3 linked regions of the Drosophila melanogaster genome follow. Changing the gene in region 1 together with any one later gene gives a genetic interaction. Each region holds a gene or a part of one and is shown on either strand. Other genes may lie near its edges.

Region 1 (5,850 bases):
TAGCGGCAACGGCGGTTGGCGGTGTCCGAGTTCAATAACATTTTATGTGGATTACACAGCCGCACAAAGAAAAGCTGGAGTCGGAGTCCCAAGCTCTTGTTCGTCGTCTAGTAGCAGGCCATTTTTAAAATCTATTCCCAAATCCTGCTACCGATAATTGCACATTGGGTTTCCGATTAAAATCAAAAGGGTTTGGGACGAATGCAAGAACTTAGTCATGTGGTTAAGGCCAGACTCCGGGATCCGCGGAGCCCGAAACTCCCCCCAGCTTTCCTTTGTGGGACTGTGTCTTCCGGGTAATGGTCAATCCTCAGGACTGTCCGAGTGCGGATCGCCAGCCGAGAAGATCCCATCCGGTCCGCTGCGGCCGATGGCGGTCACCTCATCCTTAGCGAGCCAGTTGAATGATCAGGGCGGCGCACATTTCGAAAAACTCCATGGTGTGGTGGCCGGTCGGCTGCAGCGGCATCACCCCGGACACGCTAAGCGGCGGCGGAGTAAGGCTCTCCATGATGACGTCGTCGCCCTGCTCGACCTCGTCGTTGGTCAGCGACTTGAAGTCGAGCAGATAGCTCTTGGCGTCCACCTGGTACAGCTGCAGTGACATCTTCGAGAACTTGCCGGTCTTCACGTTCTGCCTGCGCACCCGAACGTGGTACGGATTGATGATCTTCCACTCGTAGCTGAGTGCCTTCATCGCTCGGTATACCTCGAGCATTATGTCGTTGGGCTTGCTCTGCGACCGGATGCCCAGATGCCACTTGGCGCGCTTGATGGGAGTGCCGCCACGTGCGGTTTTCTCCGGGAAGGCTCCGCCGCCAGATGTCTGCACGGACATGGCCAGTTGACGGTCCCGCATCGGCGCAATCCGCTCCGGATGCGGTCGAATGGGTATGGTGCTGCTAGGCGTGCCTCCAGCCACTGGTGGCACTGGTGTGGCGGTGCCCGAGCTGGCTGAGGTACCTCCGCCAACGGTCACGGTGGCCAGAGGGGCTTGGTGGTCCATCGATGATTGGGGAACGGGCGGAGGCGGCGGCGGTGGTGGAGAGCCGGCCACAAAGAAGTTGTTGATCTCGTTTATTTGGTTGGCCGCGTCGTCGGCGAAGCGTTTGTTGTCGATGATCAGATGGTAAGCGATGGCCAGCTGATCGTGCGGATCGCCGCTGAGCAGCGAGTTGTGCACCTCGGTCTCCTTGACGCCGAACTTGGTGCAGACCTCTGCCACAGCGTAGGTGTCGATCACATTGGAGTCCTGCTCGATGGACGAGGGGAAGAGGTAGGCCGGGAGGTCCTTTTGGAACCACTCGTGCTTCTTGATTTCCTCGATGTTGGCCCGCTTGAGCGGGTCCACTTGCAGCATCTGACAGACCAGATTGACCACTTGTTTGTTGAGGTACTCGGGAATGGGGAAAATGCCCGACTTGATCTTGCGAAACAGCGTAGGCACATGCTCGTCGTCAAAGGGCAGCGTCCCGCACAGCAGGGCGTACAGGATGACGCCGCACGACCAGATGTCCACCTCGGGACCGGCGTACAGCTTGCCGGAAATCACCTCGGGCGCCGCGTAGTTGGGCGAGCCGCACGAGGTGCGCAGGAACTCGCCGTCCAGCATCATGTTCGAGAGCCCAAAGTCGGCGATCTTCACGTGCATGTTGTGGTCGAGCAGCAGGTTCTCTGGCTTCAGGTCTCGATGCACGATCATGTGCCGGTGGCAATAGTCCACGCCAGAGATAATCTGCTGAAAAAAGCGGCGCGCTTGGTGCTCCTGCAGCTTGCCGTGCTTCACAATATAGTCGAACAGCTCCCCGCCGCTCACGTACTCCATGATCATGAAGATGTCCGACGGCGTCGATATGACCTTCGGAGAGTTACGGAAAGGTTAGCAAGCACGTTTATATCAGCTGATGACTGCAGCCGTCCCTAGGTTCCCCCAAGCCCTGCCTAACCTAATTGGTAACTGATCCAATCCGAAAATCGAGGGAAAATGTGCTTGTAAAACCAAAGCAGACCCCGTACATATTCCTTTTATAAACTTTCCTTCCAAACTTTTTGCTCATTTAAGTTGGGCTTCTATGTCTGTTGCGAATGTCTAGCCAGTGGCCCAGTTTCTAGATATGCATTTGCCTTCCGCAACAAAATTCGGATGACTAGGCATGACCGTGTACTTTATAGATAAACAAACCTCCAAAATGTTGTTATAGAAAAGCTATTCCCCCTTCGGGCATATCCTGCCTTTTTGTTTATTAAACTGCGGCTTGATTGTTTGTTATTAGTAGCTGGCCAGCGTAATTGGAAGAGGAAACCAGTAACCCAGTTTCCTGGAAAGCTTGGACTTAGAAAGTCTAAGCTTGGAGCCATGAACTCACCTGGTACAACTTGATGATGTGCGGATGGCGGAAGAGCTTTAGGTTCTGGATCTCACGCCGGATCTTGCCCACGACGTCCAGGCTTTTGATCTTCTGACGATTGAGTATCTTGACGGCCACCTTGACGCGTGTGATCTGGTGCTCGCCGATCTTCACCTTGCCGAAGGTTCCCGTTCCCAGGGTTGCGCCCAGTAGGTAGTGCCCAATCTTGACCAGCGGCTGGCCATTGGCGCTGCCGGCGGCCACCGCCTCAGCGGCCGCAGCCCTCATCTGGGGCATCTCGAGCAGGTAGCTCCTTGTTGGACTGGGGGTGCTCCACTGCTCCGCTGCGGATGGGCGCGGAGAGGGGAGCGGTGGTAAGGTCGTTATCGGTTATTGCGTAGTGTACTCCGCTGAATCAACAGAATAGAATAGAATAGAGCAGCCACTCACGTTACGTTCTTCCTGCCAGCCGTGCCACCTCGCCCGGATACGGATTCGGATGTCAAAGTGGTTGTGGATGTGTCAAGGGCGGTTGAATTGATACTGATTTCCTGGATTTCTATTCGAGCGCGGCAACGAGACTCTCCTTTACGCTTGGGTTTTCTTCGCGTTTTGCTTATTTAATTGACATTGGAAGGCGCTGCCACTTCCAACAACACTGCCTTCCAACAACACTCGTTCCAGCAGCTGATTCGCGCCCTCTCTTTCTCTCTCTCTCTCGCCTTCCAGTGGCTATCGATAAGTGGCGGCCAGTGATGCCAGGTAGTTCCGCAGTGGCGCGCAATTTAAAACCATCTTGCCACTTATGCTGAATTTATAAAAAGCAATATTAATGGCTTTACTCAACCACATTTGAAATAGTTAAGCTCGCAAAAAAACTAGTAGGTGTGCGTTGTCGAAACTCTCTGATGTCCAATTGAAAGGGAAAAGATGCCCGTTTTGTGATTTAAATACACATTTATTACACCAAGTTGATTTTTTGGATCCACTCCACGCGCATAGAAGGTCAGAAAGATACCTCTTTTGTGCAACGTTAAGTGTAGATCAACATTCAATATAGATTATCAAGAATACTGTCCTAAAATTCTCAAAGATGTATGGTAAAATTCAGTTTGTTCACAAATATGCGTGTATATGTCAAGCTTTGTATTTTTCTTTTTTAGTTTCTGTAGTAAAAGGCTGCCACAGCTTCTTGTTTTCACCTGTCAAATAGAACCGCTTAATGACTAGTATATAATGTTCGTGTAAATGCGTTTTTACGACGATCAGGATTCAGCTAAGCGAAAATTGAACATTTTAACTATTTATTTGCTTAGCCTAACATCAATTTACAACAATAGTATATCGTCAACTTAAGCTCTGATCCGCACTGTACTGTGCTGACTGTACCTCAAATCTGTATCATCTCTCTCGCTCTCTTTCGCTGAGGCTGCATCGCACCATCTCGCTCGCAGACTCAAGAATTCAATTTGTGTTCGTTTATTATAAACTTTAGGATTTAAGGTTTAAATACATGTATTTCTTTCGTGCTTTAAGTTTATTCTGAAAAAAAAGTCACCTTAACTATGATATTGCTACGAGACTAGGATTTACGTTTAGAGATTATCAATACTAAAAAAAAAAAATTTCGGACCTCTGGGTCTCACGGGTATGCTGGTTGGAAAATTTCAAGTTTATTTCATATTCAGCCATCTTCTTGTCGGGTTTCTGTTGGAAGTTTACCCGAAGTTCGGGTATTTATACATCATTCATATATATTATCTAATATATAGGTGTTTGTATAGTGTGGTGTTCTTGTTCTTGGTTTGTTGGTAGTACATCAATAATTTATTTATAATGTAGTAAAAAGCAAGTGACGCGAACGAACCCTCGCTGTCGACGTTCCTTATAAGTCTACAAATTAACCATCTATTCAGAGCAAGCGTCTTCTGTCTGTTGTCATAAGGTTCGTCTCTCTATATATCCGTGTGTGTAACGTCCGTCTCACAGTGTCCGGCCGGAATAGTCGCCACATCTTGGGGCTTTGCATCCGTGCAGTTACTCAATTCATTTACAATTCGCAATCCACCAAGAGCGAAGATTGTTTCGTGAACTGGAGATGAGTGCAGGAAAGTTATATTTGAGTTTTGGTTGCGTTCTCGTCTCGTCTTGAGTGGCTGATGGTTTGCGTTTGGGGCTTTGTATGTTGCTCATACAAACTCATTGGAATTTTTTCTTATGTGGTTCGATCAAGGATTCGACTCCGACCGTCTTTATGTGTGTGTGTGTGTGTGTTGTTGGGGATTGTGTAGGCTGGTTAACTTTGGAACATTATTTCGTACATCTTAATACACGCTATGCATCTTTAATTTGCTCTGCTTAATTCTGTGATAGTGTTCTTGTGGTACTGCCTATGTCTGCCGTGCACCTTTGCTTTGCCTCTTGCTGCCAATGCTTGGATTTGCTATTCCTGGCCAGTGTGGTTTCGGGTTATATCGTATGGTCTCAACCAATCCTGGCTCTCTGATATGGATATACATATATGGATAGCAAGATACATACATACACATAGAGAGCGAGAGAGTTGGCTACTATTGGATATCGCTTCTGGGTAATATCTCCTCTTCCCTCCTCCGATTGCACTCAATCTATTTCTACTCGCTTCTACCATGTGGCCACCGCCTCCGCCGCCTCCGTCTGCACTCACTTTAAGCTTGTGGACTGGCTCTGTTCATGGTAACAGGAAGAGAGACCGGAACCGTGACATATACCGGAACATACACGGCCAAAACAGCTGGGTAGGCCGAAAGTGACGCAGCTGGCGAGGAGATGGAAACAACTGATGGATGGGCGGGGGCTGGAAAGTAGAGCGGCACTAGGTAGTCGGAGTGGGAACGGGATCTGCCACCGAATGCGCAATATATCTGATGGTTGTTCTGGAGGCTTGCGGGCGGCGGCTTAAACGGAATCTGCTGTTCTTGTTGGGGCTGTGGCAAATGCCATTGCCTACGGGATGCGGCTGGCTGGGGAATCGGCTGCAAATCGGCAATGGCAGCATGAACACTTCACCTGTGAGATGCAGCTAATATCGTGTAAAGAAATTAATGGCGTTTAAATAAATTTCTGTGCATGGTTATATGGATGCGGTTTTTGAGATCGTGTTGTTCTATTTGATCTACCTCTGTGCGCCATGTGGTGGAAGTTACCACCACCGCCTCCACCGCCGCCGCCACCACCACCACCGCCGCCTCCGTGAATGGGCATGCCCATGCCCATGCCCATTCCCATGTTTACGCCCATGCCCATGTTCATGCCCATCGGGTGCATTTGCTGCATGTGGTGCGGATGCGGGCCGCCCATGTTGTGGTGGTTGTTGTTGTTGTTGTTATGATGGTGGTTGTTGGGGTGATTGTTGTTGTGGTTGTTGGGATGGTGGTGCTGCATGTGGTGCAGCTGCGGATGGTGCTGCGGATGCTGGTGTGGATGCTGCGGCTGATGATGATGCGGCGGCATATGCGGATTG
Region 2 (5,850 bases), on another chromosome or scaffold:
TTTGCGGAAAGCGGATTGCGGACCGACAGAGCCGACGACTGCCAGGGAACTGAACCGCAGAGCGGTGTTGGCCACCATCGCTCATACGCCCCGTGGGCCGGAGAAGCGGAGAGAGCCGCTGAGCGAGCCAGCCGCTGGCCAAACGAGTTTTGAACATTATATGAATGAAAACAAAATGCGGCGTTCCCACATGGCACTCTCTATCTCTATTGCCGCCACTTTTCTCTCCATGTTTGCGCACCGCGAAAGTTCTCGGAAAGCTGGGTGAGAGACTGCCTCCCACTCGCACACACGGTCGCGAGCTTTTCGCTGTCTCTTTTCCCTAAACTCACGCGATATGTTTGGCGGCGTTTGGCTGTGACGCAGCCACCTGTTTTTGTTTTGCTCGATACACTCAGCGCAAATGTGGGCGCCATTGGGGATGGATTGCATATCTTGAGCTATAAACGCTTCAATTCTCAAGTGTCTAAATGAAAGAATAGCTTTAATTGAAGTGGATGGGTTGCCAGATTCAAAAAGTCCTAATCTGCAAGCATTATGAAGATAAGATTGGGAGGAAATGCTGAACTGAATCAATTAAACTAGATTAAGCGCTATTTGTTATTGGATTTCTAATTTAAATCAAAGAAAACATGATGATATACAATAGCTTGCTTAGCCTATCATAATCATATGAATAACAAACTAGATTATTAAAAGTCCTCATATATATCCTTATGCTATCTTCAATGTATTTAATTCTAAGTATAAAGACCGCAATCTCATTTAAGAAATTTCTGTCTAATAAATGGCTTTCTATCCACAACCATAATGTACTTCTGATGTTTTCTGTCCCATTTTCATTTGGGCTAAACCCAAATCGACTTACCTTAACCGCTTGCGCCGCTCGGAAATATCGCCATTCTGGCGGACATCGTTCTGCATCTTCAGGGGGAACTCGTCACATGCCTCGCCCGCCTCGGCGGCCCGCTCGTCGATCTCATCACCCACCTGTGGAAGGGAAACGGTGGCTGAGTGATGGTGCCAAGAGATGGGAAATATGATGAATCGTACCAAAAAGCTGGGCCGCTCGCCCTCGGCGGATTGGGCGGCCGTGTCATTGGACTCATTTGTTTCGCTCATCTTGCTGATGCTGATGCTGATGTCGATGCTGTTGTTGTTCTGGTTCTTGTTGATGCTGCTGTTGTTGTTGTTCTGGTGGCAGGCAATGCGAATGTTGTCGTTGCTCAGATTGCTGAGTGCGCTATCCTTCAGCTGGTCGCACAGCTCATCCACGTCGGACCGGAGGCTCTCGCTGGAGAACTGGACCTTCTTGATGCACGCCTTGGGGAATCGCTTGTCACTCGCTTTTACCGCCGAAGGAGGTGCTGCTGGAGCAATAGGAGGCTTGCTGCTGGTGGTTGTTGCCGTTGCTGTAGCTGCAATCACGCTGGAGTTGTCTGTAAGCAGAGATAAGGAAAACAAGGTACGCGTGAGTCGTGGTCAAAAGTCGTATACACATAATGAACTAATTAAACTGGGTTATCAGCTAGGTGTGCGATTTGTGTGCCCTTCAAGTGTTTCGGTTTAGCAAAGTGGGGGATTCTTACGATTGGTGTTGCCGTTGTCGCTGTCGCCAGTTGTTGCTGTCGTGGCGGATGTTGCTGCAGACGATTGGACGGGTTTGGATCTTTTCTGGCCGCGGCCAAAGATCAATGTCAAGAGGAATGCGAGAAAAGCAGCCAGAGTGCCTAATATCGTGATCAACATCGGCTAAATCCAAAAAGCTGCTTTAAATCGGTGAATGCAAATCGGATTAGATAATCTGCTATCTGGTGGCCAGCTAGCTGGGTTAGTTTACAGTGTGTAGATAGTGAAAGTGCCTGTGCATCATCTTGTTTCGGATACTTTTCAAGTTCAAAAACCTTGCCACGATATTGTAGGCCAAAGCGGCGAAACAAAACAAAATGAAAATGCTAATCAATGCATTAACTAGTTTGCGAGATACAATTAAGAAACCGAAAAAACAACCATATGAGACCCAAAAATAAATCGTTGCCAGGTCAATGAGGCAGCTGATAAGAGATGTGGTCAACGAATAAGGTATACTCTACGGGAAATTCAAACTAATCTACAGATCAAGCGGGTGACTTCAAAAGTATGCAATAAGTATTTCAAAGTACGTTGTAAAGGCGCAAGTGAATATTATGTTTAGCAACTACGTAATTAGTGACAGGTGTCGAATTACGATTTAATCAACACTATTACACCTGCATATATCACTTGAAAAGTTTCAATCTAAGTACATATCAAAGTTTTCAATATACTATACGAAAATACAGGAGCTCAAGCTGTTTCCGGGTCAAAGATGGCTTCACTACTAAATAATCTACTTTAGATACCCTTTGGCAGGGCGATAAAACTTAAAAACACGAAAATTAATTTCGGATATGAGGTTCAATGTGCAGCGCATTTAAAATTAAAACAAAACGGCGAAGAGCGCGAAGGGAAAATTGAAGAAACTTAAGCTGACAGAAACAAAACCCCCCCAGTTGGTTGGTTGGTGTGAGGAAATGCAAATCGGTGTGGTATGGCCAGCAGAAGAGGTCAATGATTTTGGCATTACAGTATACATGTGTGCACGTGTGTAAGTGTGCCAGCCAGGCGGCGGGCATTGAAAGACACGGAAAGTCGGATTGGACACCGGAATCGATCTCTGGCAACCAGCGGGGTGTTATGTAACCGCTTACTCGGAAATCGCGCAGAGAACTGGGACTTGGGTTACACTCTGCGCTGGAAACGACTCAACAGGTGTGGCCCGGTCCCGTACTCAAGTAGCTCCGTTAGTGCGCACCCTCGCAATGGATGGAGTCTTTTAATTGTGCTTTATTTACCACCGATCCTGTGATAAGAACTCTGCTGGCATTACTCAACAGTCGAAAACAAAAGAATCTTACTCGACGTGCGATTATCTCTAGGGCAGCACTTTTCGGGACCTTGGCTGGATATGATACGGTTGTGTTTTGGGTTTAGTTCGTCTTAGGATTTAGATCTACGGTTTCAGCTCGCTTTACCACTCTGCGTGTGCCCTTGTTTAGCTTGTGATGGCAGTTTCGAAGACGAGGTCGGACCGGATCGGATCGGATTGTAGTAGACCGTGTAGGATCGGTTTGAACTTCCTAGACTGACTGGTTCCGCACGATTTCTAGATGGCTACTGCAGTGACCGACGATTGGAACTCAACTGGGCCATGCTCGTCCGAAAAGCACTATCGATGCCTGAACGCCGCTTCTCCGAACGCGCAGCGGACGCCGACTTCGGCGTCGCCACTATCAATATCAACTATAGCTATAGCTTTGACTACGTCTACGGCCAGGTTTTCGTGCGCGGACCTGTGTTTGTGCGTGTTCAGGTTGTTGCGCTCGTATGTTAATCGCCAGCGGGTCTCGCGGGTCGCCAAGCCAATTGTTGTTGTTGTTGTTGTGTTATTGTTTTGCTTATTGCTGGCTCAGCCAGCGCCAAGTGACCAGGAGGAATATATGTGCACTATGTACTACATAAGAACTACATATGTACAAGGAGCGCCACTAATTCGAACAGAAAGGCGGTCGAATTAAGCGGGGCAACCTGCCGGATTAATAACAATTTTTATGAAGGTGGCTCAAGTAATGACGACCAGTGTGCTCCGTCGGTTTCAGTGATCTTTTTGTGAACCAATTATGCCATAACAATGTCCGAATAAATAAATGCTGGGTACAGTGGCACCAGAGAAATATTTAACAAAATCATTTCTTTATTGTCGTCAGTGATGAATAAGGTTTCTGTATATACCGATTCAACAAGTTCTGGAATAACTACAATGACATTTTGTTTTATATTGGATTTTTTGCGTAGTTTCCAAACTAAAAACTCATAAAAACTAACCATAAAAGCATGCCCTTCCAGCGGCAATCGCAATCAGCTTAACATCAGTGAGTTCCACTATAGGAAAGTTCCACTGTTGCACAGCAATTATACCTTAACGGTCTGCGGCTGATAAAAGATAAGAGCGACATGATGATGGCGATCAGCTGTTGCCAACAACCGTCTACCCCTCTCTGTCACTAGCAGTGCGTCCCGCTCTTTTCTCTTCCATGTATCTCTGTCTCATGGGCGGCGGTAGCTTTTCAATGTCAAGGTCGCCGATGGCATTCGGTACTGCTGTTGTTGTTGTTGCTGCTCCAGCTGGACTTAATCTGGGAGTTGACCCAACCGCTGACGGAAATGCACTCTGCTGCTGGGAGCAGCAAGCAGCAACAACAACGACCATAATTTCTCAATTTGCTGGCGTAAGTGGCAAGCGATGCTGATTAGGGTTAAATGGGCGAAAACGCCAGAAATTGATTAGCGCGATGCACTTGAATCGAATTATTATTAACGAATTCAGTGCGCTGCCACGAGCAGAACACGCGAACGCCGCTGATTTGTTTTCATTCCGTGATGCTCGCTGCTCCCGGCATCAGCAGAGGTTTTTTAAAAGTCATAAAAGAAATTCCCGACGCGACGCCCGCTTTAATCTCAGATAGGCGGCGAGTGCCTGAAAAATCTTCCGATTTCGGCATTGGCCTTGGCGACCGATTATGATTAATACTTAACGGTGACGGGTCTTCATGGTTTCGGCTCGGGCTCAATTCCAAATCTTTCCCGGCATCTTATCGCACGGAAATTTTTGTATTTCGGTGTTCGATTCTGTTCGAATTATTCATGTTTGGCGCGTGGCCAGAAAAAAACCGTCTACTGATATCACAGCCAAATAATAATAGAACCGAAAGTCGGTCGCGTGTGAAACGCCTGATTTCGATGTGCTTATCTCTAGGATTTCTACAGAGCAACAAACAACCGATTTGTGCGTGATAACACACTTGAAATCTTGTAGACACTGTAAAGTGCACGGTTTACAGTTAAATTGTTTTTTAATTTCTTAGCAAAATACTACGAATTTGTAGTGACTGCGTTGGATTGAATTTCCGATTCGAGTCCTTGTGATATGCTCATATTTCATAAATATACTTATATCGTATTTATGCAATACAATACCAACAAGAAATGCAGTCTCCAATTTAGTTCTTATTAGGTAATTGATGCCGGCCGACATACACACACGTTGGCAGCTATGCTGCTCTCTCGCCCATACACACACACACACATACGTCACGGGCATCGCGCGATGTGTAAAATCCAATAGGAATCAAGGTCAGCAGCGAGTGCGCGAGCGAGAGAGGGCGAGCAAGGCAAGACATATTGAGCATATTGCAGATGGAAGCAATTGGAATTTATGCTGCCCATTGCACTTTGATTGAAATCCGCACTTTAGCCAGCGAATTCAAATGCTAAACAAACGCGGGTCCCGATCTACATACGACTATGCTGTGGGGTTGTTCACCCCACTCATTTGCATACACATATGCGCATACATTTCGCTCGGATCGTATCGTATAGGATCGGGCCGTAATTACCCGTTTAGTGCTTAGATTACCGCACTTACTCTTCTCCATCGCACTGCGCTTCGCACGTTTCTTTCGGTTGGCAATTTTGTTGTGTGTAACTGTTCTTTTCCGGGTGCAAAACGGCCTCTTGGCGGCTATTGGAGTCCTGACTCTCCGACTAGTGTGGTTCTCGCGAATCCCGGATGGGCGTGTGGCACGGCTGATACGTTATCAGCTTGTGATCGACTAGAGTACTGTGTTTTGTTATTTTTCGCTCGATTTTTTATTCGTATTTCACGCGTAATTCGGACCACTAACTCGGTGTGACCGTTCGCCTGGGCGTACTGAAAAAATACTGAGCAAGGTAAACAACAGCTGTTCGGCGGCTGTTTGCAAGCCAACCCTG
Region 3 (5,850 bases), on another chromosome or scaffold:
TAAAATCGGAACATGCCCGCTGTTTGTGATCAGAGCAGCTGCTTTTGGAATTTCTCATAGGTACGTACGTTATGGTTTCTCTTATCTCGGTTCAAGTGCTTTGGCAAATTAACAAACTAATACAAAAAGCTAACAACAAGTTTGACTACACACATAAAGCTGACAAAACAAAACAAAATGAAGACCTGCGGGTCGACATAGCGCACCCAGTTACTTCATAATACTAGAAAGGCTGGTGTAACCACTGTTGGGCTGGGCGGGCTCCTGATGCCGACCGCACCGTCCACAGCAGCAAATGCTCTTCACCACGTCAAGGAAGCTCGTCTGGTCGAAGTCGTCCAGGTCGGTCATGAAGACACCAGAACTAATGTCCTCTGCAGTGCGCGTTCCGACAAATGCCTTGAGATCGGTGGTGGGAAAGCCATCCTTGTAATACGCCTTTATCGTGTCGTAGGCATCCATTATGACGGCAATGAACAGCGACAGGACCACATAAATGTACAAGGATATGAACGAGTACAAGTAGATCTGGCAGAACCACCACAGCCAGGTGGCCTTGCTGGAAAGCGTGGCAAAGGTGGCGAACATATCATCACCGTTTATCAGCGCAAACAAGCACTCTGACGTTGTAGCCAGCGATCGGAACTTCATGTGATAGGGTCCCAAGATCAGCCAGCCGCAAAACACAAATCCAGCATAGATCAGCAAGGCGGCGATAAGGAAGCGCAGAATCTTTGGTGCCGCCTTTTTCAGCGTCAGTATCACAACGTTGTAGGTTTTGAAGAAGCCGAGGTAGCGCAGCACTCCGAACCAAACAAGCAGGTTGCCAATTCCCAGAAAAAGCGAGCAGGTATCCCATTGGTCCACCACCAAGTACCTTCCCTCGATTTGCTCTTTTAGAGCTGATCCAATGATCAAAAGGACGTCATTGAAAATGATCATGATGTACCTGCGAAAGCAAAACGGTTTATTATAGTCTGCAACCTTTCTGATAATTTTTGGGTTTACGTCGGCCTAACCTTCAGCATTATGGGTAATACTTGTTGCCAATATAGCCGAGGTTTTTATAACACAAAACAAAGGACTCACCAAAAGTTAACGAATTCCAGTCGGCCGTCAAAGCTCAGCTCCTTGCCGAATTGCGAACGGAAAAAGTTGACAGTTGTACATCTCAGCAGATATGCTCTCCACAGAGCCCTTGTACAGAGTGCAAAGGATAGTGCGCATGTTAGTAGGACGAATATATTAAGTACGCTTCGCAGCATGGAATCGAAATTGGCGTCTGATATGAAGTCCGTTGCTCCGTGGCACTTCAGCCGCGTCGCCTCCGCATCCAGTGAGAGCAGCATTTGCCCGTCATGGTCTCGGTTGTTAAACGTTATGGAAATGTCAAACCGAAAACAATCAGGAGCAGAAAGAGGTCCACCATTTGCCTTGAAATTAACCGTCTTTATCTTGAACGTCAACTGTGCGGAGACAAGAGATGCAAAATTGACCTCCACATCGCGCTGCCTGAGGTAATTCTCCACCCCAATGGTGGTTACGTTCGGAGGTAGTCGCTCACACACCTCGTCGATATGTGGATCGAAAATGTAGGACTCATTAAAGCCAAATATGGTGCCCTCTCTATAGTTCTGCAGGCAAAGCTTTAGTGGCGGCATTGTGTTATTGGGCGTCGGGTAGTCGTATGGTCCAATAGATCGGCTTACATTCGCGTAGCCATTGACTGCATACTGCACAGTGTCGAAGAACTCCGATTTGAGGTATAGAGCAAAGGGACCCACAGCAGGCGGATAACTCTCCACCTCCCGGGAAGAATCCCAGCCGCGCAGGAATAGATGTGAGAAGGCAAATCGGTTATCACCCGTGTAGTTGATGTGGTTATACCGCGAGTGGGCAAAAAGGCACAATTGCATCGTCACCAGAAAGATTTTTACAATCTAAGAGAAAAATTCTTGAGTTGCTAAGAAATGTTTATAGTATAACTTTTAAAGTTTCTATTTGCCTTTTGGCCTCAGGGGACGGACCTTTTCTTGGTCGCCAGTTCAGAGATCTAGAGGCTGGGCTATAAATAGAAGCCGAATTATGTTAGAGCATGCGTCAGACTATATTTATTGGGTATCTACAGGAAATCTAATTTAGTTGTAGACCTTAGAGACTAAGTGTAGACTTAAAGACTAGTCATAACATTTTCGCATTAATCATTAAAAATCGCACAAAAGAAATCCCCCTGACCACGATGTTTATCGCATATTAAATAACTTTTTGGGTTCTACAAAAGCGTCCACACGCAGTTTCTAGCCATAAAATTCTTGAATTTTCACTTTGTTTATTACGTATTGTGCTAACAATAGTTGGACCTATCAGATAAGGCATCGATAAGAGTGGAGGGGCTTAACAATGCAAGCAAAGTAATCAAGACTGTGTTGACTCTACCCCATTTTACATGCTCGAAATCTAGACAAACATTGAAGATCGGAGACGGCTGTTTAAAGGCGTCTGTAAATTAAGAGAAATGCCTAAATAAGTGGTTCAGATGTGTCACCCGAGTTCCGCCCCCAAACGCCGCGCATCACACGACTTCAATTAACTAGCATTCATCCAGATGTGAACTGCAAATGAAACCCGGATGTGAACTCACCTGCACAACGAACTTGTACGGAAATTTCCGCTTGGCCTGCCATTTCTCAATGGGGTTCATAAAGAAGAACTGAAGCTTCCTGCGCATTCGCTCCTCCTGGTAAGATGCAGCCGAGGATCCGGGGAATTCGGGCTGCTCCTCGCGGCCATCCACGGAGGGTGGGGCAGTGCCACTACCGGCGGATATGGGCATGGGCACCACCGGGGCCACCGGAGTGGACTGCAGCTGCACTTGGCGCCGCAGTATCCTGGTGTTCACGTACTCCTCGTCGCTCTCCGGCGACTGCTGCTGTTGCTGGGCAGCCTCGTAGCTGTCCGTGCGGCGCTTGACGGCCGGAGCTGTCTGGGCTCCGGGGCCGTAGCTCTGCATCTCGATGTGCTCCTCCTTCGTTGCGAGGTCAAGTCACCTGCGTTGTTGTTCTCCGTGCTAACTTTCTTTTGCCCGCCCAGTCGACATGCAAAAGAAGAATCCGCACAGGCGCAACAAGCAATCGGGGGAGGGGAGGTAAATATGTGTTCTTTTGCAATTAATACGCGACTTTTGCCAGCGAATTTATATTAAATACTGGCCAAAAGACCACGAAAATTGCTTTGTTTTCAATAGGTTTAAACGATTACAGATGTTTATTCGATATAATCGACTGTTCCAAATAGAGTTCAGCATCGATAGTTGCTTGCAATCATCGATTATTTAAATCGCGCGCCTTTTCATCGGTAGTCAAAATTCAAGTGCAGCACGGTGAAACATGAAACATGGAGAACTTTCCTATTTATTTATTTTTTTCCGTTATTTGGAGGTGAATTCCAAAAAAAATTAAATAATGTTAAGAAAGAAAAGATCTAACTATCTATGTACGAGTTCAGTTTATAGAACTCAGCTCTAAATATCGAAAAAATAATTAATTAAAAACTTCCCCGTATTCCAAATTCCGCCGTTCCTCTAACGCAGCTAACTCATCGACGCTACATGGACGTACATTCAAAATTATATTGAGGTCCATCCATTTATTATTCTTTTATGTTCAAGAAATATGACTATTTCCTTTTTTTATATTTTTGAATTTATGAGAAATCAACTTTATTTTGCGGTCTTGAAAACTGCTACCTCATTTTTGACATTGTATTTTACATTAAACATACGTACGTACTTACATATGTCAACATCTGTCACTAATGCTTAGTTATCTTATTAAATTGAAGTTAAAAAATAAACTAAAAGCGTAAAATAATACATAATCATTTGGAGCAAATATAATACTCACAGGAAAAAACAAATGTTTTCTTTCTGCCCAAGAAGAACTCTTGATAAAACCCACGAAGTCTTCCCATACGTTTCACTGTTCCCAGTGCATAAACATTTCAAAAGGAGTTCCAATAAACTAAAAGCGTAAAATAATACATAATCATTTGGAGCAAATATAATACTCACAGGAAAAAACAAATGTTTTCTTTCTGCCCAAGAAGAACTCTTGATAAAACCCACGAAGTCTTCCCATACGTTTCACTGTTCCCAGTGCATAAACATTTCAAAAGGAGTTCCAATGAATCGATGGCTTTAGTTGCAAGAACTTACAGAGATCTTATCGTGAGATCACACTTACAGTGATCTCTTATATGCTTAACATGTTTTTTTGTATTCACCACGACTTCAGAAATGTTTGTCGAAACACAAAACACAACTGTTCCCAGTGCTCGGAATATTTTAAAAATGTTTCTTTTAGAAGAAGTGTTCTCCAAGTTTCTAGTCTTTCCCGCAGGATTCACCCTCGTATCTACCATCTATTGAACATTTTGCACCATTTAAGCATATCTGGACAAACACACTTTTAATAGTTTCTCGTTTGTATTTATATATGGCAAATTTAACAAATTTTCATTTAAAAATATACATACATACATACATACAGCTAAAACACCTCTCATCGGGCGCATTTTCGCTCTTCTCTGCTCACAATTCGCGTTCAATTAATTATAATTATTATTTTAGCTTTAGAGACTTAAATATTACGTACAATCACACGCACTTAACTACGTACTAGCAAAACACATTGATACATTACATTTTTCACGCTCGTTTTGATTTTCAAATACATAAATTAACTAGTTTCTGTTTAAGCATAATTTGTTTGCTGCTGCGCATCGTGTATGGAAAGCAGAAAATTTCGATTACATTTACATAAAATATTTGATTTTGATTCTCCATCGTCGTATAAATATGTGTGTCGTTGTGTTTATGTGTTACATTTACAAACGTACATTTAGATGTGTGGGTGTGTGTTTATTTTATATAAAACAATAACTAGTCTGAAGACCTTGTGACTAGACGGTTTTTTCGGCTTCTCTAATATGTATGTATGTAGAGTTATAAAATATATGCTATGTATGATTTTCGCTTCAGCTTCTGCTCGCTTCTACTTCGGGATCGCAGGATTTTCCTCGAAAACGAATAAAAATAGTTTGGAAACCCATAGGACACATATGTAGAGTCCCGCAATGCCAGAGCGATCAAAGAGTTAAGAACCGGCTGGTATATGTTTATAGGTGGATGACTTCCAACACAGACACACAATTCGTTCGATCCATACAAACTACAATACATAAAACAAAGAAGTAAGCCAAAAGACGATCGTTTCCTGCTCGACTCGGTTCCTGAGTAACTTTTCCATCTCTCTCATCCGGCTATTTAGCTCATCCTGGTCATCCTGCTCCTTCTTCCTTAGTTTCTACACTGCCTTCTCCTTATCTCTATACTATACTCTCACGATCGCGGGCTGCTGCCGATGCCGCCATATCCGTGAATCCGGTTCGTGCGCCGTGCACACCGCTGGGCAGGATTCCTACTCGCCTAGCCTCACCGCTACGCACGCCGTTGCCCTTGAAGATGTTAGTCATCCAGTTAGTCAGCTTACTCCCACCAGCCGCTTTGGATCTATGATGCTGATTGGAGGAACCGCTGAAGAAGTCCAGATCTCCGGGGTGGCGGTTATCAATATCGGCGGCATAGCTAACGCTATTTCCGCCATGCCCACCGGGACCATCCATGTGCTCCAGTGAGTGCCAACGTTTGTTGTGCGCCAGCATCTCCTCTGGCGGCACCGACAGCGATGCCTGGCGTTGCAGCAGGGGCGACTCAAGATCATCCTCGACGTTCACTCCTCCGTTGCAGTTGTTGTTCAGATGCTTGGCACAGTTGCTCCCACCTCCTTCTCT

What was found.
Region 2: of AMPKalpha (region 1) and ACC, changing one suppresses a phenotype caused by changing the other (phenotypic suppression), as found in Drosophila melanogaster (one study listed by BioGRID).
Region 3: of AMPKalpha (region 1) and Trpml, changing one suppresses a phenotype caused by changing the other (phenotypic suppression), as found in Drosophila melanogaster (one study listed by BioGRID).

The regions. Positions count from the first base shown.
Region 1 is NC_004354.4:1,372,704-1,378,553, reverse strand, and holds the start of AMPKalpha (AMP-activated protein kinase alpha subunit), read right to left. Parts: upstream 3,019-5,850; 5' UTR 2,799-3,018; exon of another isoform or gene 2,685-2,798; 5' UTR 2,646-2,684; coding exon 2,367-2,645; intron 1,859-2,366; coding exon 389-1,858; 3' UTR 1-388. Other genes in the region: ssx (sister-of-Sex-lethal), read right to left, coding at 5,203-5,396, 5,507-5,850.
Region 2 is NT_033778.4:7,984,013-7,989,862, forward strand, and holds the start of ACC (Acetyl-CoA carboxylase), read right to left. Parts: upstream 3,226-5,850; 5' UTR 3,054-3,225; exon of another isoform or gene 2,937-3,053; intron 1,767-2,936; 5' UTR 1,750-1,766; coding exon 1,590-1,749; intron 1,440-1,589; coding exon 1,054-1,439; intron 991-1,053; coding exon 869-990; intron 52-868; exon of another isoform or gene 1-51.
Region 3 is NT_037436.4:19,715,059-19,720,908, forward strand, and holds the start of Trpml (transient receptor potential cation channel, mucolipin), read right to left. Parts: upstream 3,271-5,850; 5' UTR 3,011-3,270; coding exon 2,642-3,010; intron 1,941-2,641; coding exon 1,090-1,940; intron 950-1,089; coding exon 211-949; 3' UTR 1-210. Other genes in the region: CG42637 (uncharacterized protein), read right to left, coding at 5,386-5,850.